Caenorhabditis elegans: one gene and its partner. The protein of the gene in region 1 interacts with the protein of each later gene in a pairwise test. Each region holds a gene or a part of one and is shown on either strand. Other genes may lie near its edges. The genes, in order: K08E7.5 and ttm-1.

Region 1 (16,455 bases):
TTTGAAATTTTATTCTGATTTTCAGTTCGACGAAATTCTATGGCATTTTCGTTCAAACTTATCACTCAAAACGAACAGAAGAGGATTGGCCACTGCGGAAAACAGTTTCAGCGGGAAAGAAGCTGTGGATTTTCTGATGATTGAAATGCCACGAATCATCCCTAACAATGTTCCGGAACGAGACAAGATGCAGAAGTTCCTGGAGTTCATGATGGACATGAACGTGATTTCAGAAGCCTTCCCGAAGAAAGTCAAGCAAAGGAGGCCATTCAGTGAATCGAGAATATATTTGTTCATGAAGACTTTGGATGAGTTGAAGCATCCCAAGCCCCGATCACGTCGATCAGCGTCTTTCAGTGGTGCTCGCAAAAGTGCAAAGTATGCCAAATAATCATTTTAAACTGTGCTATAAAATATATTTCCAGAGTTGCTCAACCTGCCTCTCCTGCCGCGACAATGCACCGGCCACCAAAGGCAAGGCTCCCACGAAGATTATCGCGATCTAATGGCAACATTGACAAAGCAGGCATCGATAATTCTTCAGGCGGCGTTGAGAATCACGGTTTCGATGATCATAAAGACGATGAAATCCCGAAGAAACAACGAACTCCGAAGATTTTGAACAGATCACTTGAAAGTATCTGTACAGAAGAATATACTGAAAAACGAGAAGTTTCTGAGATGAAAGAGAAGGTTTATGATTGGTTACCGTTTTTCAAATCAAGACGAAATCACACGAAAGTCAATCAACCAACCCGTCGTTCAGCATCCCTTGATCGAAATCATTGTGTTTTGGAACAAGAAAAAGCTGAAGCTGCTCTTCGTAGTCAGAAAGTAACCACTCCGCCAATTCGAGAAGCCCCGAAAGACGTCGTCTTTATGCATCCACAAGGACCGTTGCCTGCAGTTCCTAGCAGATATCAAAATCATCGGACAAGCATCGCAGGATCAAATCCAGCATTGTTATCGCGTGGAAGAATGTACGAATCCATCATGAGAAGATCGTCGGTTGTTCCAGTTGCAGACTCTGTCCAGGCAAACAACGAATGCTCATTTTGGAAAACAGAGCTGCTTGGACGATTGGAACAAATTTACGATCGCACTCTTCCCTGTGAATGGGCATCTAAAGTCGATGGATACGATATTCAGTGGAACATGATTGAAATAGATCATGCTGATGGAATCGTCAAATCGAGATGTCAGGGACTGCAGCCCGATTATCCCCAAACTGTTATTCAATTCATGGATTATCTTGTTCGATATCCCTTCGTCACGCATAAAAAAATGGACACAGGGTTGGAATACAACGTCAATCGGATTTTCATAACTCTAGTCAATCGTCTCGAAGACTTGAATGCTCCTCTTCAATTCGATGAATGCTCTCTTATTGTTAATCTCCTCTGCAAAATCGATAGCTTCGCGGCAATGCTTGACAATGGGCCTGCAAGGCGATGGTCGAAAGTGATGATTTCTTCGTCTGCGTCTAGTATTGAGGAGGCTGGATTGATGGTCGATGGATTCTCCCGTGATCTTCCAGCATGCGGAATTCGAGCTTCAAAGTATCGACGACGTGCGTTATCACCATTTGATAATAGAGTGAATTTGGAAATACAAGGTAAAGAATTTTATTTTTATTACAGTTTCACGATTTTTACTTAAAATTATAATTTCAGACGAAAAATCCTACGAAATCCGAGAGCAATGGTTGATCGAAGCAATTCAATTGGTACTTCTTTCGCTTCCAACTTCACGACGTCGGAAACTTCACAAATTTGTTACATTCATTCAATCGATCGAAACGAATGCAGTTTTCGACCTCGCTGATCCTTCTAACGGATCTTCCAACAATCGGGAAGCGGTAAGGAGGGGATAATTTTGCAAGAAAACTACTGTAACCGGTCTCGACACGACAACTTTTTGTTAGATAAGAAAATGTGTGCGCCCTCAAGGAGTACTGTAATTTCAAACTCTCATTTCTGCCGAATTTTTATGGATTTTAATTAGTTATTTGATAAAAAAAAATATTTATCAATTTAGCACTACAAAATTAACACCTATATTTCAACAATTAAAATTCTGCAGAAATCTTCATTCGTTTCATTCGACAAAAGAAAAATTTGTCGCCTCGAGACCGGTACCGTACTTTTGTCGCGAACTTTTGCGTCTGCGTAATATCAATTTTAAATTTTCGATTTCAGGCAATCATCGGACTCTGGACAGGTGTTTGTAGTAAATGCCGAAAGCAACAAGGAATGCTGATAACCGCTGTCCTCCTCGCAAACTTTCAATCTCTTTTTGCAGTACCTGTTGAATTTATCGAACAGGTCAAACGATTGGAATGTGAAGAAAAGGACAGATATAGTGGTCCTCGGTACGCAAAGATCACCAGAAGTCGAAATGATTGGCAACCACCAGTTCCGGATAAACCGCAAGCATCTCCGGCAGTTTTTAAGAAACCACTAAGAGAAGTGGCATGTGAGAAAACGAAGAAAGGATTGTTCACAAGATTGCTGCGTAAATAAATCTAAAAATCTTCGCCCCATGTATATATTCAATATATTATTTATTTTGTTCCATTCCTCCCCGCTCACCGAATTCTTGTGTCATTATCATCATTTTTCTAAATGTTATTTTACAATTCTGGTTGAATTGAAATTCTCGATGTTCGTTTTGTTCCATAAATTTTGACGATGATTTATCTATATGTATTTATTTTCTTCTATGCTTTAATAACACAGAAAAGGGGGAATTTCAAAAAATTTATTAGGATACATTGAGGACTATTGTGGGATGGCGAGCTCCTCGTAGTTGCCCTCCTAAAAACGTTCGTTTTGTCTTTTAAAATATGCCAAAAATAACTCACATCTTCTTTCTTTGGAGCCACTGGTTCATCCTTCTTTGACGATGGAACGTCTTGTTTCTTCGAATCGAATGAGTCGCTTTTTCCGACTCCTCCAGCAGGTGCTGCCATAAGTTTAGCGACCGGTTTTGGAGCCACTGTTTTCTTCTTGCTCCCACAATGGACCAGCACAAATGGCAAGATATTGAGAGTTAATAGCAAAATGATCTGGAAGCGAGAGGTTTGGAAAATATCAGAATCCTGACAGAAAACTCACTTGCGAGATCATTATTCTTTTTTCGCTTCCGAGAGGTTTTGAATCTTGTAAAGTGAGAAAATATGAATTTTGTAGATTTTCGGAGGCTTTATATATGAGAAATTGTAAGGGGAAGAAATGTTCACGGAAATTCAAAGTTCGAAGGTTGAAATTTTTCAAATTTTCTATCACAAAACACATTTTCGGTTCGCGTTAATAGTTTTCAAATTGGTTTTTTTTTTCATTTTTAATGAGTTTAAAGTTTAGAAATTTGGTTCTACATTAACATATACTTTGTGACAGAGATGGGCGGCAACTGCCGTTTGGCAAATTGGAAAAATTGAATTGCCGGTTTGCCGATTTGCCGGAAGTTTTGGAGGGACTTTTTATAAGATGGAAGCGTTTAAAATTGTGCCTTTTTGAAAATTTCTTCCCGTTTTCTTTAGATATTTTCATAGAACTTGTTTACTTTTCAAAATAGACGTAGGAAAAATCATAGGATGCGTACAATTTTGCCGATTAAAATTGAAATTCTGAAAGAACCGGCCTTCCAGCAATTTTCAGTATTTTTTCTGAAATATTTGGCAGCATCTGAAAGCATTTTTCAACATCCTGTAAATTTTGGCAAATGTGGGCAATTTTTTTTGCAACACCTGGGCCGGCAATTTCTTAATCACAGCGGTAGCGACGAGAGTTTGAAATTACAGTACTCTTTAGAGACGCAAACCTTTTCGCATTAAATAAAATGAAAGACTAATTTTCAATTGGTCCGTGGGGTGCAAGACTAATAGAGACTAATAGAGGAAATACAGCATATATTTTTATTAGATGGTGCAAAGTCCTATTTTCCCAGAAGATCACATCTTATTAAATTAAGATTCTCTGGTTCGCTGCCCCCTTCTCTTCCAAAGTTTCCTCAAAAATATATCCGAAGGGAAAATAAAAAATAATATGCGCAGACGATAATAAAAAAATATAGACAAAAACCCGATTCTCTAAGAGATCAAGCACGTCGATTACGTTATATTATTTTTCCCCTGTCAAATTTCATTGTTATGCAACATCTGCATGACGTCCATCTTCTGGACAAGACCGAGAGATGATATGGGCGGTCTGTACACGTTTTTTTTCTGTCTTTCAGATATCTCATCGTAATAAGCTTGCAGATATTTTTCTAGTATAGTTTTATCTAACATTTCTGACATTTTCAAAAATTTTCAAAATTGAAGCGAAAAAGTTGGTGGCCGAGTTGTTATTTATTCCCGGCCACATCGCAAAAAAAATCATAATTTACTCTGTTTTTGGAAAATTAGGTAAAAATTACTTTCAAAAACAGTAAACAATGGTTCAAAGTTGCATGTCCAGTTTTTCACTTCGTTCTTGTATACTCCCCCTGGTAAAATGTCTACTTCTATTTGTAAACTTGCTGATTTTTGAATCCTTAATAACTCAGTACCTGTAAGAGATACAAAAATATTGTCAACTATCAAAATAATCAAAATTGTCTCAAAAATATTTTGTCAGTTGACAATATTTTTCCAACTCCTATCCCAACGGAGTTATTCGTTCCATAAGAGATCACATTTTCCACAGACCACACCCCAATTATTTCCAATAAATCAGAAAATAATCAAAGTCCATTATCACTGCTTATCCCGTTAGCCATGTTTCATAGAAGGGCTAAATGATAATGGATTCTTCTTTTTTCAACATTCTCCTTCTCCTTCTTGCCTGTCGGTTTCCTTTTCCGATCCAGAGAAGAAGGGGAAACTTGTCGATTAGCCAGTTCACAAATCAAGAAATACCGGTGGATTCGGAAATTTCTCTTTCTCGAGATTTTTGACATGCTTTCGGTTTGACCCTTCTATGTGTCATTTAAGTTTTTTTTTGTTTATTTTCGTTGGAACATTTTGAAAACTAGTGTAAATCTGTTATTATAAGTTTATTCGTTTATTTAAGTACATTTTCGGTCAGTGGGGTCTAAATAAAAGTTACATTTTTGTGTCCCACTAACTTTTTAACTTTTTTTTGAGAAATTTTCAAAACGTTTCATTAAACGCGGTAGTTTTTGGTCATTTTGGGCATAAAAAGGCAAAGTCTTCAATTTAGGTACTAGAGTTTTTAATATCAGTCCGTCATTTTAGTTTTTGATTTGTTTCCTTTTTTATTTTTAGTTTGTTCCTAAATTCTGAAAGGCTATATCACTATTGTTCTGGATTCTACCAATTAAACTTTGATATAATTTCTTAAAAAATAGTTTGCTCCTAGAAATTGTAAAGTCAAAACCCTTCTTTCTATCCTGTCTGCAACTTTCAATTTTTCAATAAAAACTAAACACAGATATTCTAGATCAATTCCATATGCGAAGGCTTTTGATACATCTAGTTGTCCTTCTAGTACTATTACTAGAAGGACACAATGTTCTAGGGTTTGCAAGTGCGCCAGGGACCTATCCAGAAGAAGAAACACGAGCTGGTAATGATATGGAAGTGCCCAAAAATCCATATGAAAGCACATGGACCGGATATGATTTTTATTATGAAAAGGAGCCAAAGAAGGGTACGTTAGAAAAAATATGCAATTTTTGAAATTTATTTTCCAAATTATTATCAATTTTTCCCTGTAAATGTTGGCCGAGTTTATCTTGCACTTTATATTACGTTTCATTTCCAGATTATCATTTCTCGGCAGTCATGTAGCAAAATCAGAATAGCCTGTCAATAACTTCCTTCTAATTTTCAGTCCCACCCTCCGCAGGCAGCGGAAAAATGCCAGCGTTCCAGTCGATCGCGTCCATCTCAACAGACCGTGAATCTCCAGAAGACCCAGGAAATAGTGGTTATTTAGCGTCCGGAGCCGAATCTGGACCCAAGAAAACCACGTCGAAACCTGCAACAACACCCACTCCAGAACCTACCACTACTCCCGTAGAAGAAGAAAAAGTAAAAGTGTCGCCGAGCAGTAGTACTAAAGGTTGGTGGAAAGTTGAGTTTTGTGGCCACGTAGAAATATCTCACCTATGCACCAGAACACCTAAATAGTGGTTTCACACACACGTGTTTTATAAAACTTCACTCCAGATCCATCAAAGCTGCACAAAACCACCAAAACACCTGTCACTATCACAAATATAATATCAACCACCACTGCACCACCAGCGCCATCTAGAGCACCAGAAAATGATCCGGAATCCGGATCCGACCAATCGGAGAGCACTGATAATTTGGATTTACTTTACGGCGGGGGAAGTTCTGCCACAGCCACCGGGGAGGATAAGAAAGGTATTTGGAATAGGAAAATATAATTGAGTATCTAGAGAATATGTAAAACTAACGTTCTAAATATTTAACATCTGAAAACAATTTTCTAGTAGTGTCACATGTCACATTGTAGATTTTGTGTACTGCCTTTTTCAACTTTTGGAGTTCAAATAAAGATAGGTCTTCTGAATACATGTAGTGGCCATTGTCATCGACATATAAGCGCAAAATAGCGCACAAGTGGACATATAAGCGCAAAATTCAAAGTTAGCCAGATTATCAAACTGTCTTTAAAACCAGCACGGCACTCTACCACTAATAATCCCAACTTTTGCACAGACCCTCCCAAACTGCATGATCCACCTCCACCGCATCCATCTGCACCACAAAACCTTTTAACCCAATTGATTCAAAAGAAGAAGGATGCACCAAACAAAGGATCATCTGAGAAAAGTTCCAAATGGTCAGATGATCATGCTTCCGGGTATCCGGAGGGAAGTGCTCCTAGCGCTGAGCCATCTGAAAACCAGTATGAGCAAGATGGTTCTATTCCATCGTCGAATGACTACAAAGAGCTCACAGATGTACCAGGTACAAAGCCAAGCTCTTCAGCTTCACGTGGTTCAAATATGGCAGGTAACCCCACAGCACCGCTCACCACCACTCAGCACACTTTTGCACCAAACAGCACTGAAACATCAAGATCTTCTACTAGCAGAGGAAAGGCTCCTGGGACCGAACCTAAGTCTGAAGCTCGGTATAGCTCTCAGAATCCTTACTCAGACAACTCGAGCACCCAGAAGCCAGAATACGAATCTGGATACCCAGCGGTGTCTGGAGCAAACTCAAGAGCCCAAATTCCTAATATCACGGACTACACTAAACCATCAGCAGTGTCAATTGAATACGCATCAAGCTCGAAGGAAAGGTCTGATCCTCCATTTTCAACACCCTTAACATCTAATTCACAACATGTACTTACACAGCCAAGGCCAAGGGATTATGAAGATGGCCCGCAGGAGACAACTCGGACAAAAGCTAGTGGCACAAAATCACCTAACTCACTCCAAGCACCTCAACAAACTGCAGCACATCTCATGAAAAATGCCAGAGCACCTGGTCCGGAGCCAAGTCTTCACAGCACTACCACTCACCACGTACAAACACCAATTATCACCATAGCACCCAAGTTTTCAGAACCATCACCATATGCAGAAAATATTATGCTTACACCAAAGCAGGCACCTGGCACCGAACCTCGGTCTAACTCTCAGAACCCTCAAACAGATCGGTTAGCCTCCCAATCAGGATATGAATCCGGCGGGCCTGGACGTCCACAAAATGTTTCAATAAGACACCGAGAGAATCCAAAGGGATCTGATGCAATTTCAAGAACCGCTATTACTCCTTCTAAGATTGATTACTTTGCACCATCGTCACCAACAGGGCCAATTGGATATGAACGTCAAGTCCCGAGTTTCAAGGAAGGACCAGATCATCAATATACAAAATACTCCACGCTCAATTCACCACCTGCACCATCACCACAAGAGTCAAGCACAATCACTCACCATGTCTCCACATCACCCGACTTTTTAGAGCCATCATCAGAAAGTTCTGTGCTCTTACCGAAGCAAGCACCCGGCACCAATCCGAGCACGTCTAATAGTCCACCTGGATATTCTGAACTAATTGGCCCCTCTGGTCCCGGTAATGGTCTACCTGAAGCACCCAGTCACGCCGCACAAAACATTCCCAGAGCACACACGTTTTCAGAGTCACAAGGGTACGAACCGATGGGAAACAATGGGCCAAGTATCTTTGAGGGTCCTGGAACAGAATCTGGATATTCTGAGCCTAAAGCTCTTAGTACTGCGTCACAAAAGACTAAACCAGATGACAAGCCATACGAAATACCACGTAGCATTGAGCCCAGCAATTCGAAACCATATCCATCTGACAGTTCCTGGTCTGACCATGACAATGCTCCTGGCAGTGAGCCAAGCTACATCCCGGACGTTTTAGACTACGGAGCACGAGCCAATAATCACGCGGGCAAAATGATGAATATGTCACATGCCACGTCACCAAGCACCGGTTCACCATCTAACTCGAACAATGCGATTTCCGCACGAGACCCATATGATCACTTTGGCACTATCACTGCACCATCTGACATTCCACGTGCCAATTCAAATTTTGAAGAATACCCGGACGATGGAGGATATGACGGGACGAATGATGTGGCAATTGTGCCTTTGAGGTGATTTTTTGTGGGAAATCGAGTCCTCGATGCATCATGTTTAATCTTGCTCGAAACGCATATATCTCGGAAACTACGAGAGCTATCAAAAAGTTGTCAACTAACAAAATGTATAAAAAAGTTTGGCGAACAATTTGTCAGTTAATAACTTTTTATAGACTTAATAGTTTTGGAGAAAAATCAAGATACAATTAGGCACACACTTTTCAGAACACAGCACGGCACAAATCCTTCCACCATCACTACCACGAACACTCAAGTGAGAGCACAAATTTCAGAAATTGATCGGATTGCTGGTAAATAATATCGATATTCCAAAAATTTTTGGAAGAAAAATATGAATCTTACATTATTTCAGAATCTTTCGAGAACTCGGCGCGGGAACCTGTGGAGTATGAACAGCGAATTACTAGTGAATCATCGAAGGGAATTACAGCTGTAACCGGAAAAGATTTTATGGTTTTATTTTAAAATTTCAGCCGATTTTTTTGAAATATAATAAAAATTAAACATTACAGAAGAAGCTTGGAAGAAAGTCGCCAACATGTTGCTCATGTTGTGACGAGAAGCAGTCTGTGAGCAGAAATATTGAGACACAGGTTTAAAAAAAAGCAGCACTGTTTTAAACTTAATAATTTCTAGGCTGACCCATTGCATGTTCAACACGCAGTCGACCCATCACGGCAGTTAGGTACGTAAGTTTCCTCAAGACTCCCCCGTTGGTCACAAAAATAGGTTCGAATCCTGCCGTGGTCGAAACTTTTTTTTGCAGTCGAATCCGAGCCAGTGCAGAACTTTGTCCCTCTCCAGAACACCGTTGGAGGGAACGCCTATATTCAGCCACAACCAGTCGCTCAACAACAGTAAGTCTTTGTTTTAAATGGAAATATGTCACTTTTTTTCCAGAACCATCTACCAACAACCTTTCCAGCAATACCAACCACAGTACCCACAATCTTATCAGCAACCATCCTGCGGGTGCCAGCCACAGCCTCAAAACTGTTGTGCTCCACCTGCTCCTTGCTGTCTCCGTAAGTGACATAAATAATCCGTACAATTCATTCTTAGAACTATCTTTGTTCAGCAACAATTCCATGTTGTCCACCAATACCTTGCTGCCCGCAACCGAAGATTTGCTGTCAGCCAGCGCCAGTCTGTCTCCCTCCACCAACTTGTTGCTCGATTAACTTTAAACTTCCGACTATTCCAATCTGTGGTAGAGCCTGCCCATCGTGTCCATGTCGACGGAGAATGCACAAATCACGTCGTCTCAAGCGTCACTCAATTAACTCGAACTGTCATCAGTGCTCTTCTGCCGGTGAGCCATGGAGATCTGTGTTGCATCACCGAGAGAAACGTGCAGCTCCGGGATGCACTTCCGGTTTTTCGACGATGGTATGACGTTTCAGAGTGAATGGATAGAACTAAAACTCCACTTTTCAGAGTCAAAATTCGTGTGGCACATGTGGAGCGTCAAATCTCAGATCGCCACGTGTCAAGCGTATGGGATGTCTGCCGTGTCTGGGAAGAAAGAAGCGAGATACCGATGAGAATTCTCATATTAGAGTGAAGAGAATGGTGAGTACTGCGAGCTCACAAAAAATCAATTATCAATTTTCTTACAGGGATGTCTTCCATGCCTGGGTCGTAAGAAACGCAGTACCCTATCACAATCGGGATGTTCTCAATGTAATAGTATGGGTCATTTGTTCAATCGCTACAAGAGGAGTCTATTTGGAGGATGTTCGCCGTGTGCACCACAGGTATGAGATTCACGCCTCCCCCAACTTGACTCGAAAAATGCCTCCAATTAAATGCTAGGTGGAATTCAAATTTAGAAAGTACAATGTAAATAAGTAGCTAACAATAAGATTATAACTTTTGAATAACTTGAAAATCAGTTATGACAAAATGTATACGAAGTTCCGAGTTCCCATGTTACGCCTTGGCCAGGTGAAACTCAACATTGTAATACGAAAACCAACTCTCAAATCTTGACACTTTTCAGCAACCCTGCGGATGTGGCCGTAAGAAGCGATCGGTCACCATGAAGCTCGTCAAGAGAGCTCCGATGCAGTGTGACTCCACATGTTGCGACTTTTCAAGGTGAGCACATCTAAGTATTGACTGTAGTGTAACTAACATTTCCTATATTTCAGATGTCCATATCGCCAGAAGAAAGAAGCGCTGGTGCCGTTTATGTAGAGCTCACAGATGATAAGATCACATCGACGGGTTGTACATACCTCATAGAATCATCATATTGACTGCTTATTTCTCAGAGTGTTTTTGAAACATATTATTAATACAATAAATTGCAATAGTTCATTTTTGAAAATCTAACAAAAAAGTAGTAAGATTAGAAGGACAGAAAAGGAACCGGGTCACCCGAAATTGATGGGATTATGGGCCGGAATGATTGTGTGTGTGAAATTGGAATTATTCAAGGAAGACAACTAGAGATCGCAAGTGATTGTTTAAAAAAATATAAATAAGAAAAAATCTAAAAAGTTATGGACTATGGCTTTTCAAAAACCCATTAATTTTCATGTTCAGAAATTCGTTTGGACTACTCGACGATGCTATTTCAGACGCTAGAGATTGATGTTGTTGTTGATCATCGTAGAGTTGGAGCTGGCGTTGATAACTGGCAATTTCCAGACGGAGAGCCTGAAATTAATATCAATTGTGATCTGAAACAGGGGTGGGCTGCAAACGATTTTTCCGGCAAATCGGCAAATTTCCGGAATTGAAAACTTCTGGCAAATCGACAAGTTGCCGGAATTGAAAACTTTTGGCAAATCGACAAGTTGCCGGAATTGAAAACTTTTGGCAAATCGACAAGTTGCCGGAATTGCAAAACTTTTGGCAACTCGGCAAGTTGCCGGAATTGCAAAACTTTTAGCAAATCGGCAAGTTGCCGGAATTGAAAACTTTTGGCAACTCGGCATATTGCCTGCATTGAAAACTTTTGGCAAATCGGCAAGTTGCCGGAATTGAAAACTTTTGGAAAATCGACAACCCAGCAAATTACCGATTTGCCGAAACTTTCCGGCATATTGTGGCTTTGTACATTTCTTTTGGAAATTACAGAACTTCAATTTTTTCAATTTTTTCCAAGTGCGAAATTGTACGCATTCTATGTTCCAACATCTATTTTAAAAGTATGCAAATTCTATGAAAATATCTAGAAATATCGGGAAAAAAATTTCAAAAAGGCACAGTTTTAAGTGTTTCCGTCTTATAAAAAGTCCCTCCAAAAACTTCCGACAAATTGATGTTCGGCAAACGGAAAATCGGCAATATGCCGAAAATCAAAATTACCGGCAAATCGGCAGTTGGCCGATTTTTTTAGTATGTTTTATTCACTATTACAATACATAGTTTTAATATTAAAATTTTCTTCAAAATTATCAGAAATTTTTGCTTCAGCTTTGAAAGCTGAGACTTAAATTGACAACACATTTTGCTCACTTTTTTCATAATGTAATTGTGTTTTTTTTCAAACTTCAATAACTATGAAACAAGAACTTTGAAGATAAATAACTCTTATAAATTCATGATTTACTTTTTCTTGCTCTACGGAATACTCACCTGTTGCTTCAAATGCTCCGTATGCAACTTGGCATCCGCTAACCTCAACTTCTTCTCAATAAGCAAAGTTTCCGGACTAACATCTCTTTTTTCTCGTTCCTCCTGCTCATCATTACCATTTCCTTCTTCTTTCTCTCTTTCTTGTTTCAACTCTCGCTGCTTCATATCCAAATGCAACTGTAACTGATGCAATTGCATTTCAGTCCTTTGTAATTTCAGCCTCTTCGCTTTCGGACCATAAGTGGCTTCCATGATGTCCGACGCCGAGTCTGCATCGTCGGCTTTTGTGTCCTGTTCGCTCATCATGATTTCCGCCAGGCCGGACATCCAATCGGGTACTGGCCCACGGGAACGTCGTTTTGGCTCGGCCCAACTAAATTCAGCATAACGTTCGAGTTCTTGTCCCGCATTCATGTTGGTGATACCCAGTTTGTGGGCATGCTTTCGAGAGAATTTTCTGAAATTAAACGAATGATATTGAGCTGCTTTGAAAAATGGAAAAAAGGAAAATAAATTTTTACTTGACCCATACCTCATATCCCTAATCCGTTGCTTAATCTGTGCAGGCGTCCGTTCTGCAAATCCCATCGACGTTATTTCAGTGGCCCATTCTCTTGCCAAGGTATCCTTAAAACTTTGAAAAAAGTTTTTTCGAGCCTAGAATGTCTACCTACCATCGGAACTTCCTCATTCCTTTGCCCTGATGGTCGTGTTGAGTGGTATTCTTCACGTCTTCCAGAGTATAGTTCGTATAGCTTCATATTTTCGGCTTCTGAAATTTAGTTTTTTTAATTGAAAATTTATCGCAAAAGCTATTTCTTTATTCTATCGAAGATTAAAATTGATTCCTACCATTAAACCCGATAGTCTTCGGTTTATCTTCGGGAAGCTGATTTTGCAGCGCAAACTGTGCTCGTAGTATGTGACCGATGGATGATTGTGGAGTGATCGGAGTGTCGACTAGCGTTTTTCGAGACATTCGTGATGACATAGTGGGTTAGTTTCACCTGGAAGCATTCGTTTTGCAGTAGGAGACATGGTGTAGAGTAGGAAGTAATGAATGAAGAGTGTTGAGAACAGCGGTGTGCGGCGAATCTCAAAATTTACTCGGCAAATTTACCGTGCTTCACAAACGAAACATTTTATGTGTTTTGGAGCACGAAAACGACTGAATTACTGAATACTGAACACACAACTGGGTTCTGAACAAGTTCCTAGTCGTGTAACTTTTTAAACATCAAAATCACTCAATTTTGTGTGTTTGAAACAAAAAATCATTTTCTAGTATTCATATAATCAGTAACGGTTGTTAAATTCTTTGTTGCTCTTTTTTTGAAGGCACACCGGGCGAGAAGCGGTAGGTGATCCGCTCTTTGTACAATGTTTAACATTCAAATTTTTTCTGAACTTTAGTCTTATATGGTTAAATTTTGTTTCAAGCTTTACATTCACATAGTTGAAAAAAGATTCATCAATCTTTTCTCCGATTTTGAAAAGTTAGTGATGTGGAAAGTGTGGCTCTGGAAATGACTAGGACTAATTCGATTATGCAGAGTTTTTTTTTCTTCGTAAAGTTAAAATTGAAAAAAAAACAATTTTTGTTTTTTGTAACTTTCGATCAAACAATACTTTTCAGAAAAAAAAAGTTTTACCAAAAAATCATATTTTTGAATTTTTAAAATTTATTTGAAATACATAGATCTACGACGAATAAAAACAATTTGACAGTTTGTTTTAAATTTTAAGTTGTTATGCCAAAATGCCGAAAATAAACGGCTAGGCATGAAACAGGAACAAACGCCTGAACAGGAACATGCCTGAATATCATTATAACCACCTAGATTTTGTTCATTTTTTTTGCTGACCACAGTTTTTCTCCAATGGGAAAGTTTGTAATAATAAAATTAATGCAATACAAGAAATTCGAGTCCTCTATAAAATTGAGAATTACGTGAAGGGGGAGGCAAAAGCTTGACGGGAATGAGAGGCATTTGGGGGGCACAGGAGACAAGAAGTGATGATGACTAGTATAAACATAGACACAGCCCCCAAACAGCCAGCAGATGTCTCTCTCTCTCTCTTTCTCCCTCTCTTGTGTCCCCGGGAAGGAAATATACGGACTCTGGCGGGTGGAAAAGCATGAATGTGTGCAAGGCGAAGAGAGAATGGAATTCGACGCAGATGGCATGGGCTCCCTGCTTCTCTAAAATCTCTTTTTTCTCGGTCTGGACAACTATTTTTGGGGTTTGTGCAGCGGGATTTTGTAGAATTACGAGTACTGCCACGTGGCTGCACAATTTCGAAAATGTTCCTTTAAAGGCGCATTTTTTTCAAAATTGGATCCACCTAAAATATCAAAAGGTCTTACAACTCTGTGTGAAAACAACTTTCACGTAAGGCTGCTGGCAAAGACGCTTTGTCAAATGTTGACCTTAATTTCTCTTGATCAATAGACCAACTTAAAATTTTTCAAAATTTCTTTCTTTAGATTTTTTCCAACATTTTTGTTTACTAGGAATATAATTACACCCTCGCAAGTTAATCTATAATTTTAGTGCGTCAATTTTCATGTCCTGATTTTATGTCACGCATTTTGATCACCTAAAAACTATTGGCGTTAGATATTTCACCAGGTCAAGGCGTCGTGAAATATCTGCATCTCCAGACACCGAACACCGTGAAAACAACTTGCACACTTGAGAGCCGACGCCTCGAACTGGAGAAATATTTGCTCGCAATCAATGCCAATGTTCATGAGAAGGCTTTGAAGGACCTTGAGGTATTTTGGTATTTTCACAAATCTAAAAATATGACTTAGTCCAATACGACTTAAGCTTCTGACACAAATACTGACTTAAGCTTCTGACACAAATACGACTTAAGCTTCTGACACAAATACGACTTAAGCTTCTGACAAATTATTTTTAGAATCGCTGCCAAAACATGTAATGTGTTTTAACTTTTCTACATTTTAAAAGTATGTTTCATTTATACACACTTGTTCCTTGTTCCATAGCCATAGCAGATTCTTTGGAAATTACAAGATAGAGCCGATCTAATCTAATGACTGGAAAAATGCGTTCGTTTCATGCTCGAAAACTTGATAAAGAAAAATCGTTGAATCTCCACAAGAGGCAGGGGAGGCACGGCAGAAAGGGAATGCACACGCAGATGCTCATGGGCTCTCTACTTCTCTAGACTCTCCAACAATTCCTATAATCTTTCATCTAGACTTGTACGGGGAGCTCACGACGTCTTCTAGGGCGCGGGCGTCCTGAGAGAGCACGGAGATGTTGGAGAGCTGGGCGAGGGAGAAATGGGAAAGTGTGTCCCTTTTTTTTCCTCTTTTCTTTTCTCAACGACGACTACTTTTCGATATCTTATTAGCAATACTTACATGGAGTTGGCCGACAAAAAATTGAGAAGAAGAAGATGAAGTTTTGGAGGGGGATAGCAGATGTGTTGAAACTATTGCAGAAATTTTAAAGGTCAGGGACTTCAGAAAGTGAAAAATATTTAGGGATCCGATGCAGGAACGGCAGTTTTTTTGTAGACTCGCCGTCTACTTCAGGCTCAGGCTTAGGCTTAGGCAAAAGCTTTGGCTCTGTGGTTAAAACTGGTCTGCATTTTTTTCATCAACTTGATTAGTAAAACTTGGGTGTTTCCAAGAAGTTTGAGGCATGATTCAAAGCGGCCTACGCCTGCTTTGTGCCTGCATGGGCGTCACTTCGAAAAAAGCTTGTCTCAAAATGCGAAAAAAAAGGTGGCAGGCAGACACCTAGGTAGGAAGATATATACACTATTGAAGTGCATGTTTTACGTCTCCAGAGGTCTACAGTAGTAAGAAAAGTTAGAAAAGTTGTGATCAGTTGCCACGTGAAGTTCCAAACGGATTCAGAAAACTACTGTTCAAAAATCCTCGAACATTTTTATGATCAGGCTAGTCTAAACGCGTCATTTGAAGAAGCTCATCCATTTTATTTTCCAGCAAAGAAAAAAGGTACAAAACAAGAAAAATAAGCAGGAGGGAGAGGAATGGTGAATGGGTGGATGGGCTCTCTTCTCTTCGTTTTCTCATTCTCCTCTCTCTCATTCCTTTCCCGGGGCTCTATATCTGCTCGCCCGCCCCGCCGCCGTCACCCTCTATACTATTTCCATTTTTGAGCAGCCCGTGCGTGCTTCTCTTATTCTCCCTATTCGCGTCTCCGGGATCCATCAATATTCGGGAGCAACATGAGGGGCG
Region 2 (15,304 bases), on another chromosome or scaffold:
GTGCCTGGCATCTAGGCACACTTTCGCATGAAAAGCCTGCCTGACTTGAAAGTACATGAAACATACCTGCCTGCTTATTTGCCTATTTTCATGGCACACGTAGGCACAAAAAACCAAGGCACACACGTAGGCATACCTGCCTTCAAGGCGACCTATGCCTGGATACAAACGTGCCTATAGATTGAAGGCTGAGCATACTATATTGGGAAATAGGCGGTAGGCGAAACTAAGGCAATCGTGCCAAGGCGTGCCTGCCTATAAATAAAACGATATCAAAAAAAAGCAATCGAAAAATGATGTTCAATCTATGAAACTAAATCATTTTTCCAGAAAAACAATCACAATCCTTATCTCTCTCAGTTTCAGTCAAAAAATTCTTCATTTCCCGCACGATTTTCTAGTTGCTAGTTTCTACATTATGTTTTCAACATTATGCTGATATTTCGCTACGATTTTTTTTTTGTAGAAAAGTGCCACGAATTTGGTGGTGTTTGCTCCCAGGAAACGTGGTATAAAATGGAACAGAAGACTCCGTGATTTCAGCTAATTCTGATTCTTTTTCGTAGCTTCCAAGAGTTCATTAAAACTACAATAACCCGATTTATTTCGCTATGAGACCAGAATCTTGTGCCAGATTTTTCTTCAAGCTACTCTTTTCAAATAATTACTGGACAGCCCCAAATTCTAATTTAAGAATTTTTTGTATTTTGGTCTCTGGAGGTAGATTTTTGACCTCTTCTATATTTTTTTTTCTAATTCTTACGTTATTTACTATAGATACATCCAATCAAAACCGATTCTTGGCCATTCTCCGTACAAACTTTTCAATCTTTGAAGGGCAAGAACAGTGATGATGTCATTGAACCATCGGAACAAAAATTGTTAGCATCGGTCGACTGAGACTACACTGAATGTATCTGGGCTCTGGTGTCGATTTACGGACTCGATTTTTGATTTGTCGATAAAATATAAAAATTAAAAAAAAAAAGAAATTCATTGCAAAACCCGATCCCGTTAATCGACGCTACAGTAGTCATTTAAAGAGTTACTGTAGTTTTCGCTTCGAGATATTTTGCGCAATACGCATTCCCAGAATTTTGTGTTCTCGTAATATATTTTTACGGAAATTTTAGATTGCCTGCTTGATTTTTTTCCGTAGTTTTAACTTTCCATTTTATCAATTGTAGTTTCTGATTTCAACTTTCAACTGATTGGTTGAACATTTTTGGAAACGAGATAGAAACGTGATGTTTCGATCATTTTTCCTTGCTAACTCACATTTCTCACACTTTCATCATAAGATCATGAGGAACGGAAAAATGTTTAAATGATCTTAGGCTTAGGCTTAGGCTTAGGCTTAGGCTCAGGCGTAGGTTAAGGCTTAGGCTTACAATTAGGCTTAGGCTTAGGCTAAGATTTAGGCTCAAATCTATTTTATTCCCGAAATTTCATAAGTTTCGTCGGTTTCTGTATCTTAAAATTTTTCTCTTTGAATCTTCAAAAATATCACCACACAAAAATTGCCAAATTCCGGTCCTTCTCCATGTCCACTTGATACATTATGTTTGATGGCTACTGTCACATATCAACGCCTTCTGATATGTCCGGTGTTGTCTATGTCTCTTCGTCGTTTTTAATAATTATGAGAAAAATTGAAAGAATTCTGAAGGCGTCGTCCACTACATAGCTTCCATGTGATGACGATTTCTAGAATTTAAAATTTCAAAATTTCAGAAATATGCCCTACAAAATTCCCGCCAGTACTATAAATATAGTTGGCGCCCTATAAACAGTCCTTTCAATTTTCCCCCATCTTTGACCCTCACATTTTTCATTTTTCTATTTTCCTTCAATTGACATTTACTGATAAGAAACTTATGAAAAGCGGAATACATGAACGATTTTTGATGAAATCATGCTGAGTCAGAAGTTCAAGTGACATGTGTTTTTTTCTATTTGTTTGTTTTAATAACTTACTCGTTGTGCATTTGAACTTGATGTTCTCACCGGAACAGGCGACACGTGACCTTACAGCAACTGATAATATACCGTATTTTACCCGTAGCTCATATCTTGGCGGTTCTAGGAATTATCAAATATTTTCTGTAAGAGAAGGTTCCTGATGCTCTCGAAACTACAGTAGTCGATAGTATACCATACTTCCTCGAATAGTAGTGCAACCCATAAATTCATCTTGGCGGTCCTAGGAATGATCAAAAATTGCCAAGTTTTTATTATTAATTTTTGTTTAGTAAAAAGTTTTAATTGGTTGAGATATCAGTAAAGTTTATTAGACTCAAAATTGTCAGAAAACACCGAATTTGATAATGAAACTTTTTGAAAAATGCTGAAAAAAGTTTTAAAAAAAGTTATGGCGGCTCAAAAAATGACCTCAAATTAGTTGAATTTTGAAATTTGACCAACTTGTCTATGTCGCAAGTTACCAAATCTGGTGATCCTTCGACCTTAATTGTACTCAAGTTGAGTTGAAAAAGAAAAATAATTGATTTCCATACCTAAAATTAGACGGTGATTTCAAAAAAAAATAGTTTCCAGCCGCTTGACAAGTCTGTCAAATTTCAAATTTTAACCTATTTTAAGTCATTTTTTGAGCCGCCATAACCTTTTTTTTGAGAAGTTTTAAAGAAGTTTAATTATGAAATTTCGTGTTTTCAAACAATATAGAGTCTAATAAAGCAATTTTTAAAAAATTGACTAAAGCACCTTTAAGTGCGAGACTAATATAGAAAATACGACATGGTCGCTGTGGCTAAAAGTAGATCTTTTTGCACAGGTTACGTTACTAAGCGCTCTTACAGTAACCTTTCACTAATCCTATAAGTTTTGTGAGTGAACTCGCTGACCTTGGCAAGATTTTTAAATTTTGAAGCTCTTTGAGCCATCATAAGGAGTCAAAATTTGCCCAGCTCGGCAAACTCCAAAAAAAAATTTTAAAAAGTTTTAATGATATTTCTAGGAGCTCCAAAATTACTAAATTCTTAGCACAAGTTTAATTTTTGAATACCTCAATTTTATGTTTTTTTACTATAATTTTTTGAACAAAATCAATAGTTTCGGTCAATTTTTTAAAATCCAATTTGAGGTGTTTGCGGCAAATTCGCCACAATTGCCGCACACTCCTAATAAGGTCATTTCTAATTGCAGTACTTCTCCGGAATACATTTCACGAAACTGTATCACAAACTAGAATGACGTCTCCCCCTTATCACACTTTCACTCCTCCTCCTCCTCCGTCGACATGTATATAAATTTTATGAAAAAGCCCCGACATTTAATCACGAAAATGCTGACACTTTTTTAAGACACCTATACTGATAAAGAGTTCGGTTCACATTACGTCCTTTTCACTTTACTTGATCTCTCTTTTTTTTTGTCTCAACTCTATCATTTTTCCAACAAAAAAAAACTAGTTTCTCATATGTGTGGGAGGTGTGTAAATCATCTCGGCCTCCTTTTTTTCTTTCTTTTTTTGTCTTTTTTCGAAACAATTTCCGTTTCACATTTTCTGCACTTTTATTGCTTTCTTCAGTTCTCTAGAAAATATTTTTAAATTACCTAATATTTTTCCACGTGATATTGTTGCTACTTATGTTATCACATGAGCCTTTTAAAGGGCATCTAATAATATTTTTTTTATATATAAATTGTATTAAAATCAGAGATCAAGCGATCAGAAGATGATTTTTTTAAAGGATTCTTATTTTTTTCCTAAGAATCTTGTAGATCACAATTTTTGAACACAAATTAATTTGAAGCTTAAGCCTAAGCCTAGGCCTACGCCTAAGCCTAAGCATTAGCCTCATCTTAAGCCTAAGTAAAATGTTTTTGTAAAAATTCTGATGAGTTCTAAAAAATCACTAATTATTTTGTTGACTCCTTCTTTCCCCAACTAGTTTGAAAAAGTTCAATTCAAGCCCTGAAAATTTGTACCTTTTTTTTTGTAGTTCCTCCCTAGTTTCCACAACTTTTCTGGGAGTTTGTCGAAAAAATAATAATGTAGCCAAAAAGTAGAGAATACCGGAAATTCGACCCCAAAAAATTCAAATTTTCAACAACTTTTTTCTGAGATTTTTGAAGGATTTTTGATGGATGAAAACACAAAATACTTGATCTTTACATTTTCTCAACTTATTTTTTGAAGTTCAAGACATAGAATTTGTGTCTTTTTGAATTCAGAAGACCATTTAGAGGCAGTCTTATGTCCATCTCTCGCCTACATAAACGGCACATCAAACGATCTTGACCAAAGTTTTGTTTCACCTTTTTATTTTCTAGAAGTCTGCCAAAGTCTGTAAATTAAAATTAATTAAATTCCCAGTAGCTTAACAATAATTTTTACACTTTCGCCTCGTTTACAGGGAGGTAGATCAAAATCGTTTTTTTTTTCCTTCACTTTTCACTTGCAAGTCTCTCGTTTTTGCTAGATAGATAGATGCTTGATGGCAGGAAATACAATCTGGTTCTTCTTCTGCTTTTCCTTCATTGACTATCTATAATCTCTCTCCTCGTGTTTCTTATTATGCGCTTGTGAATTTTTTTTGAATGCCTCACATTTTCAGTCTTGCAATTCTTATTGCTTTGCAGAAAGCAATAAGAATTTTTTTTGAAGTTTTTTTTTCTGTTGAAAAGTTTCCAATTTTTTGTAAGAATTTGTTTGCTTTTTTGCTTTTTTGAACTTTTGGCATGAATTTTTTGGTTTTTCATATAACTTTTTCCTGGAATTTTTTTCCAAAAAACTTAAAAATTTGTGCAAAGCGGAGTTTTCAAGCTAATTTCTTTTTATCTTGTTAAAACTGATTTTTTTTTGAAAATTTTATGTCAAAATTTTTTTCATAAAAGTTGTAGAAGCTTAAAATTAAATGTTTACCTAATTTAAGAACCACTTGAGGTTTTTTTCAGAAATTGTATTTTTGAAAAATAAAATATAAAATTTTTCGATTTTTTGAAAATTTTCTAAACTTTTTTAAGGCAAAAAATATTTTTTTTTCTATTCTTTTTAATCTAAAAATTGCCGGATTTTTTTTGAATTAAACGATGAAATTTGAAGAAAAAAAATCTGGCATTTAAGTCGGTATTTTTTGAAAAATAACTGAAAATTAAAAAAAAATTTTTTGGAAAAAAATCCAAAAAAATACAGATTTTGAAAATATTCACGAAATTTCACTGGCTTTGAAACTTTAAAAAATGCACTGAAAACCTTCGAATTTTTCAATTCAAAGTACTAACTTTTTCATAAGAATCTAATTTTAGAAAAAAATGTATTTCTATTGAAATACGTCCAAAAGTAAGCTGGCTCGCGGAGCTCTTGGAGCTTCATATCCAAAAAAAAAACAAATTCCTGCATGACTCGAAAGATCTTTGATTTTTAAAAATTTGCATAAAAAAATCTTGCGACCTTCCTTCCCACTCAATTTTTTTCCTTTTTTTCCTATCAGCCAGAACGTTTTCCCATATTCAATTTTGTTCTCCATTTCCTTTTCCTATTCTCCTGTTTATTGTGTTCCTTATTCTCTTTTTTCACCCCATTTTTGTCTTGTTTATTTGTTTGTCAAAACGCATTCCACCGCTCCCCAGTCTTTGTGTTGTTCTTTGAAAGGGGACAACAAAAAAAATCGCGGAACTAAGTAACTAAGTTTTTCATTTTGAAATTTCGCTGCTCTTGTCAGAGTGTCCCACGTCGTTTTGATCTACGAAAATCTACAAAAATTGCGGGAATTTTTGGTAGATCAAACCTTGATGGGACAGCCTGACACACATACACGTGCCGTACTCATTTCTCTTAATTCCCGTTAAATATATTTTTTGAAATCTCTAGAACTATGACAATCTCAATGATATCTCCGTCATCAATCCGCCTATCCAGTGACAAACGTGACTCTTCCTCATCCAACCTGCCCGCCAACATCGAAGAGGACACCCAGTCGGTGTCCTCTTCGGATTCTGGAGTATCTGCCGACTCTATTGACCACCATCATCACGGTCATGGGCATGGGCACTCTCATGGGGGTCATGGGCACTCACACACACACAATAATGATGATTCCTCTTCGGATTGTAGTGGAGCAGGAGGAGGAGCGCATAAGCATAGTCATGATGAGAAATATCAAAAGGTACATAGCAAATTTTTTTGCAACATGGCTCAACTTTTACCTCTATTAAAATGACCATTATATTAAAACTAAATTTTTCAAAAAATGTTGCTTTTAATTTTAATTATTGCTATCTATGTAAAAAGCCCAAAATCGACCATTTTAGCATAAAAATGTGTTTTTTTTAAAATCAAGCCAAAACACGAGCTCGCAATTATACATATCAGAGGAAATTTTCAACTCCGGCAATTTGCCGATTTGCCGGAAATTTTCAATTCCGGTAATTTGACGATTTGTCGGAAATTTCCAATTCCGGCAATTCGCCGATTTGCCGGCAATTTTCAATTCCGGCAATTTGTCGATTTGCCGATTTGCCGGCAATTTGTCGATTTGCCAGAAATGTTCAATTTCGGCAATTTGTCGATTTGCCGGAAATTTTCAATTCCGGCAATTTGTCGATTTGCCGGAAATTTCAATTCCGGCAATTTGTCGATTTGCCGATTTGCCAAAAATTTTCAATTCCGGCAATTTGGCGATTTGCCGGAAAAAATCGTTTGCCGCCCACAAATATCTAGCAATACGACGACTTCCTGTGAATTGAATATTTCATCCTAAAATGTTGAAAAATATTGGAAAAGTGTCGAAAATTTCAATAACTGATTTTTTTTCCAAATTTAAATTAGTTTCCCTGAAAATGTTCTTGAAAAATTGCAATTTTATTTGAAATATATAAAAATCAAGGCATTTTTCAGTTAGCGGGACGTTTTTTTGACAAAAATGCGAAAAAAAAACGCAAAAAATATGACAAGAATTTATACATTTGAATATTTTTCTGAAAAAATCAAAACATTATTTGACGCGCAAAATATTTCGACGCGAAAACTACAGTAATTCTTTGAATGACTACTGTAGTGTCGATTTACGCGGCTCTATGTTCATAGATTTATCGATATAATATCAAAATTAAGCAAAGAATGAAAACAAAGATAATACGAAAAAGCAAAGAAAAACTGCGCTAAAGTAGTAATTTATTGAATTACTGAATTACTACGAGATATTTTGCGCGTCAGATATGTTGTGCAATACGCAGTCTCACGTGATGTCAGAATGTCTCATTTCGGCTTTATCTACGTAGATCTACAAAAAATGCGGGAGAAGAGACGCAGAGTTCGTGCTGACGTCACATTTTTTGGGCAAAATATTCCCGCATTTTTTGTAGATCAAACCGTAATGGGACAGACAGCCTGGCACCACATGCATTCTCAGAATTCAGTGTTACCGCACAATTTTAGTAGTAATTTTTTTAAAAACACAGTGTATAACTTTAAAAAAAAACATTTTTTCGCCAAAAAAAAAATGGACATAAAATTTTTTGTTTGGATTTTCCAACTAATATTTCTCGTTTCCAGGGTCGCCGAGCAGAAAAAGTGCTATGGGCAGTTGCAGCACTATCCGCAGTCTTCATCGCCGCCGAGTTCGTCGGTGGATTCTGGGCTCAATCGCTAGCAATTATGACAGACGCCGGACACATGCTCAGTGATCTTCTCTCATTCATCATCTCAATTTTTGCGATTCGTTGTGCACGTCTTCCCGCATCGAAGCGTCTTTCATTCGGTTACGAGCGAGCCGAAGTTCTTGGTGCTCTGACGTCTGTGATCATTCTCTGGGTGCTCACGACAGTGCTCGTCGTCGTCGCTATTCAGCGAATTGTGAACAATGAGCATGAGGTGGATGCTGATGTGATGCTCATCACCGCGGGCGTCGGAGTCCTTTTTAATATCGTTATGGGATTGGTGTTGCACTTCGGAACTGGAGGTCATGGGCACACTCATGGAGGACACTCAAGTCATGGACATGCTCATGATGGAAAGAATGTGAATGTTAGAGCTGCTCTGATTCATGTCATTGGAGATTTGGTGCAATCCATTGGAGTCCTGATTGCTGCCCTTATCATTAGGTTTACCGGATGGACACTTGCCGATCCGATTTGCACATTCCTTTTCTCGATTATCGTGCTCTTCACGACGGTTACAGTTATGCGGGACATCTTTTTCGTTTTGATGGAAGCCACACCGAGCCACTATGACTTGAGTGATGTGAAGAAGGCGTTGAGTGCGTTGGAAGGTGTAAAAGGTGTTCATGATTTGCATTTATGGTCTATTGGAATGGATAAGACTGCGTTTTCGGTGCATTTGGCACTTGGTGAGTGGCTTCTCATTTTGGAGTTTTGAGTAAAACTGAGAAAATTTTGGCGGAAAATTGAAATTTTTCAATAAAGATTTTGGCGGGAATTCAAATTTTTCAATAGTTATTTTGGCGGGAATTCAAATTTACTTTTAAAAATGTTTGCCGGGAATTTCAAATTTTTAAAAAATAATTTTGGCGGGGAATTCAAATTTTTCCATTGAAGTTTCTACCGGGAAATTCAAATAATTTAAATATATATTGTGGATATAAATGCAAATTTATTCAATCAATTTTTGGCCGGAAATTCAAAATTTTAAATGAAAATTTTGAAGGGAAATTCAATTTAGAGCAAAAATTGGATTTTAAAAATTTCAAATTTTCTCTGAAAAACTTTGAATGAAATTTAAATTTTCTGAATAATTTTTGGCGGGAAATTCAAAGTTTTGATATAAAGATTTTGGAGGAAATTTAAATCTTCTGAGAATAATTTTTAACGGGAAATTCGAACATTTTTTATAGGAATTTTGGCGGGAAATTCAAAATTTTAAACTGTTAGTTTTGGCGGCAAATTCAAACTTTGGCTATAAAATTTTTGGCGGGAATTCAAACAATTTTCTTTCGAAAAATTTGCCGGGAAATCGAGTTTTCCTTTAAAAATTTTTTGGCAGGAAATTCAAATTGTCTCTCTGTTGCACGTGGGGTCAGAATGTCTTATTTCGATTTGATCTTCAAAAAATGCGGGAGTTGAGACGCATACATCTCATCTGACTTCGCATGGTTAAGAGCGTGCTGACAATTTTTCTGTAAAAATATTCCCGCATTTGTAGTAGATCAAGCCGCAATGAGACAGCCTGACACCACGTGCTATTGAAGTTTTGAAGATAAATTCAAAATTTTCAATAACAGTTTTGGCGAGAAATTCAAATTTTTTAAATGAAACTTTTGAAAAAAAATTCAGATGTGCTCTAAAAAAATTGGCAAAAAAATTCAATTTTTTCCAATGATTTTTGGTGGGAAATTCAAATTTTTAAATGAGAATTTTGAAGGGAAATTCAAATTTTTTGAGAAACAATTTTGGCGGGAAATTCAAAGTTTTCTGGAAATTTCCTGGAATGTTCTGCAAGGGAAAAGTGCTGCCTTTCATGATATTGAATTTTAATATTTAATAAAAATATATTTTTCTAACTCTTCCAATATTCCAGAATCTCCTAACCGCGCCATGGAAAATGTTGCCGAAGCCCGTTCCCTGATCCGCCGGCGATTCGGAGTTGCCGTCGCCACTGTCCAAGTGGAGCCGTTCGACGAGAAAATCGATTCCTGTGACACGTGTCAACAACAGGAAACTGCTTGATTCCAGTCCTCCATCGTTCTTCTAATCTATTACGATACGGGCAAACTTCTACGTTTTTTTTTTCCAATCAATTTCATTTTTTTCAAAACGTTTACTTTTCTCGACTTTTCCTGTCAGTTTTTTGACCTACTCACACGGGTTGTATTCATTTGGCACATCCAGAGATGCCTACTAATGTTCATATTTTTCCTTACTGTCCAATCCTGTCAAATCGATAATAAATGGCTTTAATTTTTTTTTTTTGAAATTTTTGAAAGAAAATCGAAATATTAAAAAATCAATAATTTATTCAAAATCAATATTTCTGAAAAATCGATAATTAATAGAAAGTCAGTAATATTCGAAAAATCAATATTCTAAAAATCGATCATTTTTTTGAAAATTGATATTTTCAAAAAATCGATAGTTTATAGAAAATCAATAATTAAAAAATCGATTGTTTATAAAAAAATCTCTATTTTTGAAACATTGTTAATTTGCTACGAATCAGTTTTTTAATTGATAAATCTTATAAAACCAGTATTTTTAAAAATTGATAATTTTAGAAAATCAATATTTAAAAAAAAATCGATAATCTATGAAAAATCAATATTTAAAAAATCAAAAATTCATTATGGCTCAATGTTTGAAAATCGATCATTTTTTTTCAATATTTAAAAAATAATCGATAATCTATGAAAAATCAATAATTTAAAATAAATCGATAATTGTATTCCTGAAAAATCGAACACTGAAAGAAAATCAATATTATTTTTTGTTGAAAAATCAATAGTTTTTATTGAAAATCTATATTTTGAAGAACAACACAAAATCGAACGAAAAATCCAATATCTTTATTCATTTTCCACCCAAACTGTTTTATTTAAAGCGGGAAAATACTGAAGTAAACGAGAACGAATAAAACCAGACAAATCGTCCAAATTCCGAGCATTGTCCAGTAGACGATTTTCGCGTTTTTCTGGAAATATTTGAAGATTTCTTGGGAGGAATATTTTGCACAATAGTGGGGAGAAAATCGATAAATTAAAAATGTATATATCGATAATCTATGGAAAATCAATAATTTTAATAAAATCGATAGTTTATAGAAAATCAATATTTAGAAAAAAATCGATAATCTATAGAAAATCGATATTTTGTAAAAAAAATCAATATTTTAAAAATCGATAATCTATAGAAAATCAATGTTTGAAAAATCGATAATTTATTGAAAATCACTAATAAAAAAAATCGATAATTTATAAAAAACAATATTTTGTAAAAAAAATCGATAATCTATAAAAAATCTATATTTTGCGAACAATCGAACTTTTATAAAAAATCGGTATTTAAAAAATCGATAATCTATAGAAAATCGATATTTTGTGAAAAAATCGATAATTCATAGAAAATCAATATTTTTAAAAATCGATAACGTAAAAACTCACAAGCTTGTTCTTCAACTTTTTGATCTTCGCCTTATTGACTCTCGGCTTAATGGACGAAGGATCCGACTCGGGCAACTCCTGAACCCCATCACCAACCACATCACCACTTGCCACCTTCTTATCCGATACGAGCCCACCGGCGGCTCCGTGAGCATCTGGCGGTGGCGGTGGCGGTGTTCCTCCGACTGTCGGCGCATTTGGATTCAGATTGTCGTAGGGCATCGCGGCGAGATTGTGGTACTCGTCATCGGGTTTTTTCTGATCATTCGCGACGGGAGCAGTTGGATCGAAAAATGCATCGGCCATTGTTTGCAGAAGATGAGAATTTTCTTTTATTTTATTATTTGATTTGCCACCGAACTCTCTTTGAAACAGAAATAAATTTTTTTGAGAAGGGGAGGAAGGGGCGATTATATCATTTAAAAGTTTACGGAATTTTCAAAATAAATAGTAAATTTTTTCCCACTTTTTCTGATTTTTTTTTTTTTTTTAAAGTTCAAAATTTTTAATTTTCATAAATCAAAAATTTGAAAATGATTTTTTTTACATTTATTATTATTTTTTTGGTCAAAATTTTGTTTTTTCTAAATCTGTTTAAAACCACTGTTTTCAGAAAAATCACAACTTTTTAGTGTTCGGAGATCAATCTTCAAAATTGTGATTTTTTACAATAAGTTTCCCATTTTTTGCACTTTTTTAATAGTTTTTGAAGGGTTAAACCTTGTTTTTCTGAATTCAGCATATATGAATTACCCATTTTCAACAAATTTAGACAGTTTTTTATTTTTGTCCAATTTTCAGCCATCTAATGACTGTACTTTTTTCCTTTTGGAAAAAAAAAATTAATTTTTCTGAAATCGTACAAAATCATTGGAAATTGAAAAAAGGACAATTTTTTAGTTGTTGTACACTAATTTTGAGTTCTCTAACTACGAAATTAAATATTTTAGAAGAGTTTCAAAAGTGTGAATTTTTGCCAAAAATTGTCCAATTTTGCCACTTTTTAATAGTTTTTTTGTGGGTTAAACCTAGTTTTCTAAATTCTCCATATATGAATTACCCGTTTTTAACAAATTTAGACAACTTTTTATTTTTGTCCAATTTTTCAGCCATCTGTCCTTTTTTTGGGCAAAAAAAATAATTTTCCTGAAAGTGGTCAAAGCTACTATATTCTAAAAGAAGACAATTTTTAGTGTTCCGAGATCAGTTTTGAGTCCTCTAACTATGAAATTCACAATTTTAGAAGAGTTTGGAAATTGTGAATTTTTACAATGAATTTCCCATTTTTTTCAGCCATCTTACTGTCCTTTTTTTGTTGAGCAAAAAAAATAATTTTTCTGAAAATATTCAAATCTACTATATTCTAAAAAAAGGGCAATTTTTTTTAGTGTTCGGAGATCAATTTTGAGTTTCGAAAATTTTCAGAAAAATTATTTGTTGCCCAAAAAAAGGACAGTCATAAGATGGCTGAAAAAAATGGGCAAAAATAAAAAATTGTCTGAATTTGTTGAAAACGGGTAATTTATATACGGAGAATTCAAAAAATTTAGGTTTAATCCAACAAAAATCTAGATTAAACCCATCAAAAACTATTAAAAAGTGGCAAAAATTGGCATTTATTGACAAAAATTCACACTTTTGAAACTCTTCTAAAATGGTTAATTTTGTAGTTAGAGTACTCAAAATTAGTGTACAAATACTAAAAAATTGTCCTTTTTTTCAATTTTTAGGGCTTTTATGCATTTTTTTCTGCATTTAAAAACTATTTTTTTGCCCTAAAAAAGGGCAGTCATTAGAGGCTGAAAAATTGGACAAAAATAAAAAATTGTCTTAATTTGTTGAAAATGGGTAATTCATATACAGAGAATTCAGAAAATCTATAAAAAAGTGTCGTATTCACTACAATCTTTATATAATATGAAATAATGCAATAAATAAATTAAATACTGTTTCATAAAATATACATTTCTTTTTGGGTTTCAGGTTTTCTTGAACATTTTCAAATCTAAGAAGCATATGGGGAGCTCAAAATAATATAAAGGTACAGAAGCAGCGCGAAAAAATTATTCCAAAGACTCTCCAATGTCCACAATTTCCTTGATGAGAAAGTCGAGGTCCTCGCGAGTGATTGCCTGAAAATTTTGAGAAAAAAATTATTGAAAAGTTGCCTCCACAAGATTTTCGAAATTGAAATATTTTCTTTACAGTCAAAAAATAGAAAATATAAAAAATTTCATTTTTTGCCAAATTACCAAATTATTTGTTTCAAAAAATTACATTAAACGCCTGTTCCATACCTGATTCGAAATAATCATTCGGAAGAAATTTGGTCGCTGCTTATCCGGTTGATATCCAACCATTGTGGTACCTCTTTGCATCATGCCGGCTTTAATTTTTGGGGCAATTTTCTCCAAACGAGCACGCATTTCAGCAGGCTCCAAGTTTCGAATCTTTGAAGGCACGTACCAGAAACAAATGTTCAGGAATTCGGGCTGAAAATTTGAAAAATTTGAAGTTTTTTTTTGTTTTAATTAAATTAACTTTGAAATTAATTTTTTTTTAAACCCAGTGAAACATTTTATAAATTTCATAAAAATTAAAGAAGTAATCATACTGCAGGCTTCAAAATTCCTGCCTAGTAGGTGCCTAGCAGTGCCTACCTGCCTACAAGACAGGCATAACTCGCCTCGAAGGTATGTAATTTGATTTTTTTCGATTTAAAGTGTTTTAGATATTTTTCAAGCAGTTTAAAAAATGTTTAGATGTTTCAATTTCCTTTTTTTTTTTAATATTTTTTCGATTTTTCAGAGATAATCACAAAATCGAAAAAAGTGTTTAGAAAAATTAACAAAAAAAAACGAAAAATTGACCAAAATATTATGATCCAAGGGTGGGCGGCAAACGATTTTTGCCAGAAAATCGGCAAACCGGCAAATTGTCGGAATTGAAAATTTCCGGCAAATCGGCAAACCGACTAATTGCCCATTTTCCGAATTTGCCGGAACAATGGCAATTGCCCAAATTTTCGGCAAATAGTGGCTTTGCACATTTTTTTTTTTGGAAATTTCAGAATTTCAACTTCAATCGGCAAAATTGTACGCATCCTATGAATATCTAAAGAAACGGAAAAAATTTCAAAAAGACACAGGTTTAAGTCCTCTAAACACTTCCGGCAAATTGATATCCGGCAAAAGGCTACTCGGCAAATTGCCGGAATTGAATATTTCCGGCAAATTGGCAAACCGGCAATTGCTCACCGAAACTCACATTCTCAATAATCAACTCAAATCCTTCAGTTTCCTTAATTCTCCTGGTAAAATAGTTGGCCAAATCCATCAACTTATTAATTTGCTGACGATATCCCTCCATTCCCTTGCTCTTCCACATCAACCAAAGCTTGAAAACATCATTGTGCCGTCCACATTGAATGGCTTTATCTCCAGTATCAAAGCTCACATCGTACGGTTTATCTTGTTGGAATAGATAATCAGCCGACATTTGATTACACTGGAACAGTAGTCCATCCTGACGGAACAAGCATGCCGAGCACTGGAGAAGTGCTCCCATGAGCTTATGTGGATTCCATGTCACTGAATTAGCTCTCTCAATTCCTGCCAGCTTGTACCGATGCTCGGGAGACAGGAGCATTCCACCACCCCAAGCGGCATCCACGTGGAACCAGAGCTTATGACGTTCACAGATGTTTGCGACTCGCTCCAATGGATCAAATGCTCCGTAGACAGTTGAGCCGGCTGTGCAGCAGGCAAAGAACGGGGTCAGACCCTCTTTTTTACATTCGATAATCTTAGCTTCTAGAGCTTCTGGAATCATTTTTCCATTTTTATCGGTTGGAATGTTGAAGCAATAGTCTGCGCCAATGCCAAGAACAGCGGAGGCAGATTTGATGGAGTAGTGACTCTGCAAATTTAAGGTTTTAGAGGAAAAAAGTGGCAGAGAAAAAATTTCAAAAATTGCCGAATTTCCCGTTTGCCGAGCTCGACAAACTTGGAAATTTGCCGCACGGCCCACAAAATTGGATTTTAAAAATTTGACCGAACAAAATTATTCAAAAATGGTGGGCGGCAAACAATTTTTCCGACGAATCGGCAAATCGGCAGGGTTTGCACTTAAATTTTTTTTTAATTTTCGGCAAATTTGTAACCCACAATTTGCTAAAAATAAAAGTTTCCGGCAAATTGGCAATCCGACAGTTTGCCGAAATTGAAAGT

What was found.
Region 2: the proteins of K08E7.5 (region 1) and ttm-1 interact in a two-hybrid assay, tested with the Caenorhabditis elegans proteins (one large-scale study listed by BioGRID).

Annotation. Positions count from the first base shown.
Region 1 is NC_003282.8:12,567,926-12,584,380, forward strand, and holds K08E7.5 (Prion-like-(Q/N-rich)-domain-bearing protein), read left to right. Parts: upstream 1-5,442; 5' UTR 5,443-5,455; coding exon 5,456-5,654; intron 5,655-5,837; coding exon 5,838-6,068; intron 6,069-6,175; coding exon 6,176-6,376; intron 6,377-6,694; coding exon 6,695-8,618; intron 8,619-8,828; coding exon 8,829-8,914; intron 8,915-8,976; coding exon 8,977-9,077; intron 9,078-9,136; coding exon 9,137-9,217; intron 9,218-9,260; coding exon 9,261-9,309; intron 9,310-9,390; coding exon 9,391-9,481; intron 9,482-9,524; coding exon 9,525-9,649; intron 9,650-9,702; coding exon 9,703-10,013; intron 10,014-10,061; coding exon 10,062-10,196; intron 10,197-10,243; coding exon 10,244-10,381; intron 10,382-10,626; coding exon 10,627-10,724; intron 10,725-10,777; coding exon 10,778-10,823; 3' UTR 10,824-10,945; downstream 10,946-16,455. Other genes in the region: Protein let-99, read left to right, coding at 26-378, 426-1,615, 1,674-1,858, 2,199-2,522; K08E7.4 (uncharacterized protein), read right to left, coding at 2,781-2,816, 2,864-3,067, 3,117-3,128; K08E7.6 (Myb_DNA-bind_5 domain-containing protein), read right to left, coding at 11,130-11,288, 12,213-12,669, 12,745-12,839, 12,887-12,984, 13,065-13,203.
Region 2 is NC_003281.10:12,947,549-12,962,852, reverse strand, and holds ttm-1 (Zinc transporter ttm-1), read left to right. Parts: upstream 1-5,681; 5' UTR 5,682-5,840; coding exon 5,841-6,131; intron 6,132-7,519; coding exon 7,520-8,312; intron 8,313-9,499; coding exon 9,500-9,648; 3' UTR 9,649-9,884; downstream 9,885-15,304. Other genes in the region: Y39E4A.1 (uncharacterized protein), read right to left, coding at 10,511-10,606, 11,076-11,381; unc-25 (Glutamate decarboxylase 1), read right to left, coding at 13,139-13,207, 13,373-13,567, 14,343-14,993. UniProt on the Caenorhabditis elegans protein: Promotes excretion of zinc from intestinal cells into the intestinal lumen in response to increased dietary zinc. Involved in cadmium resistance, possibly by promoting its transport from cells.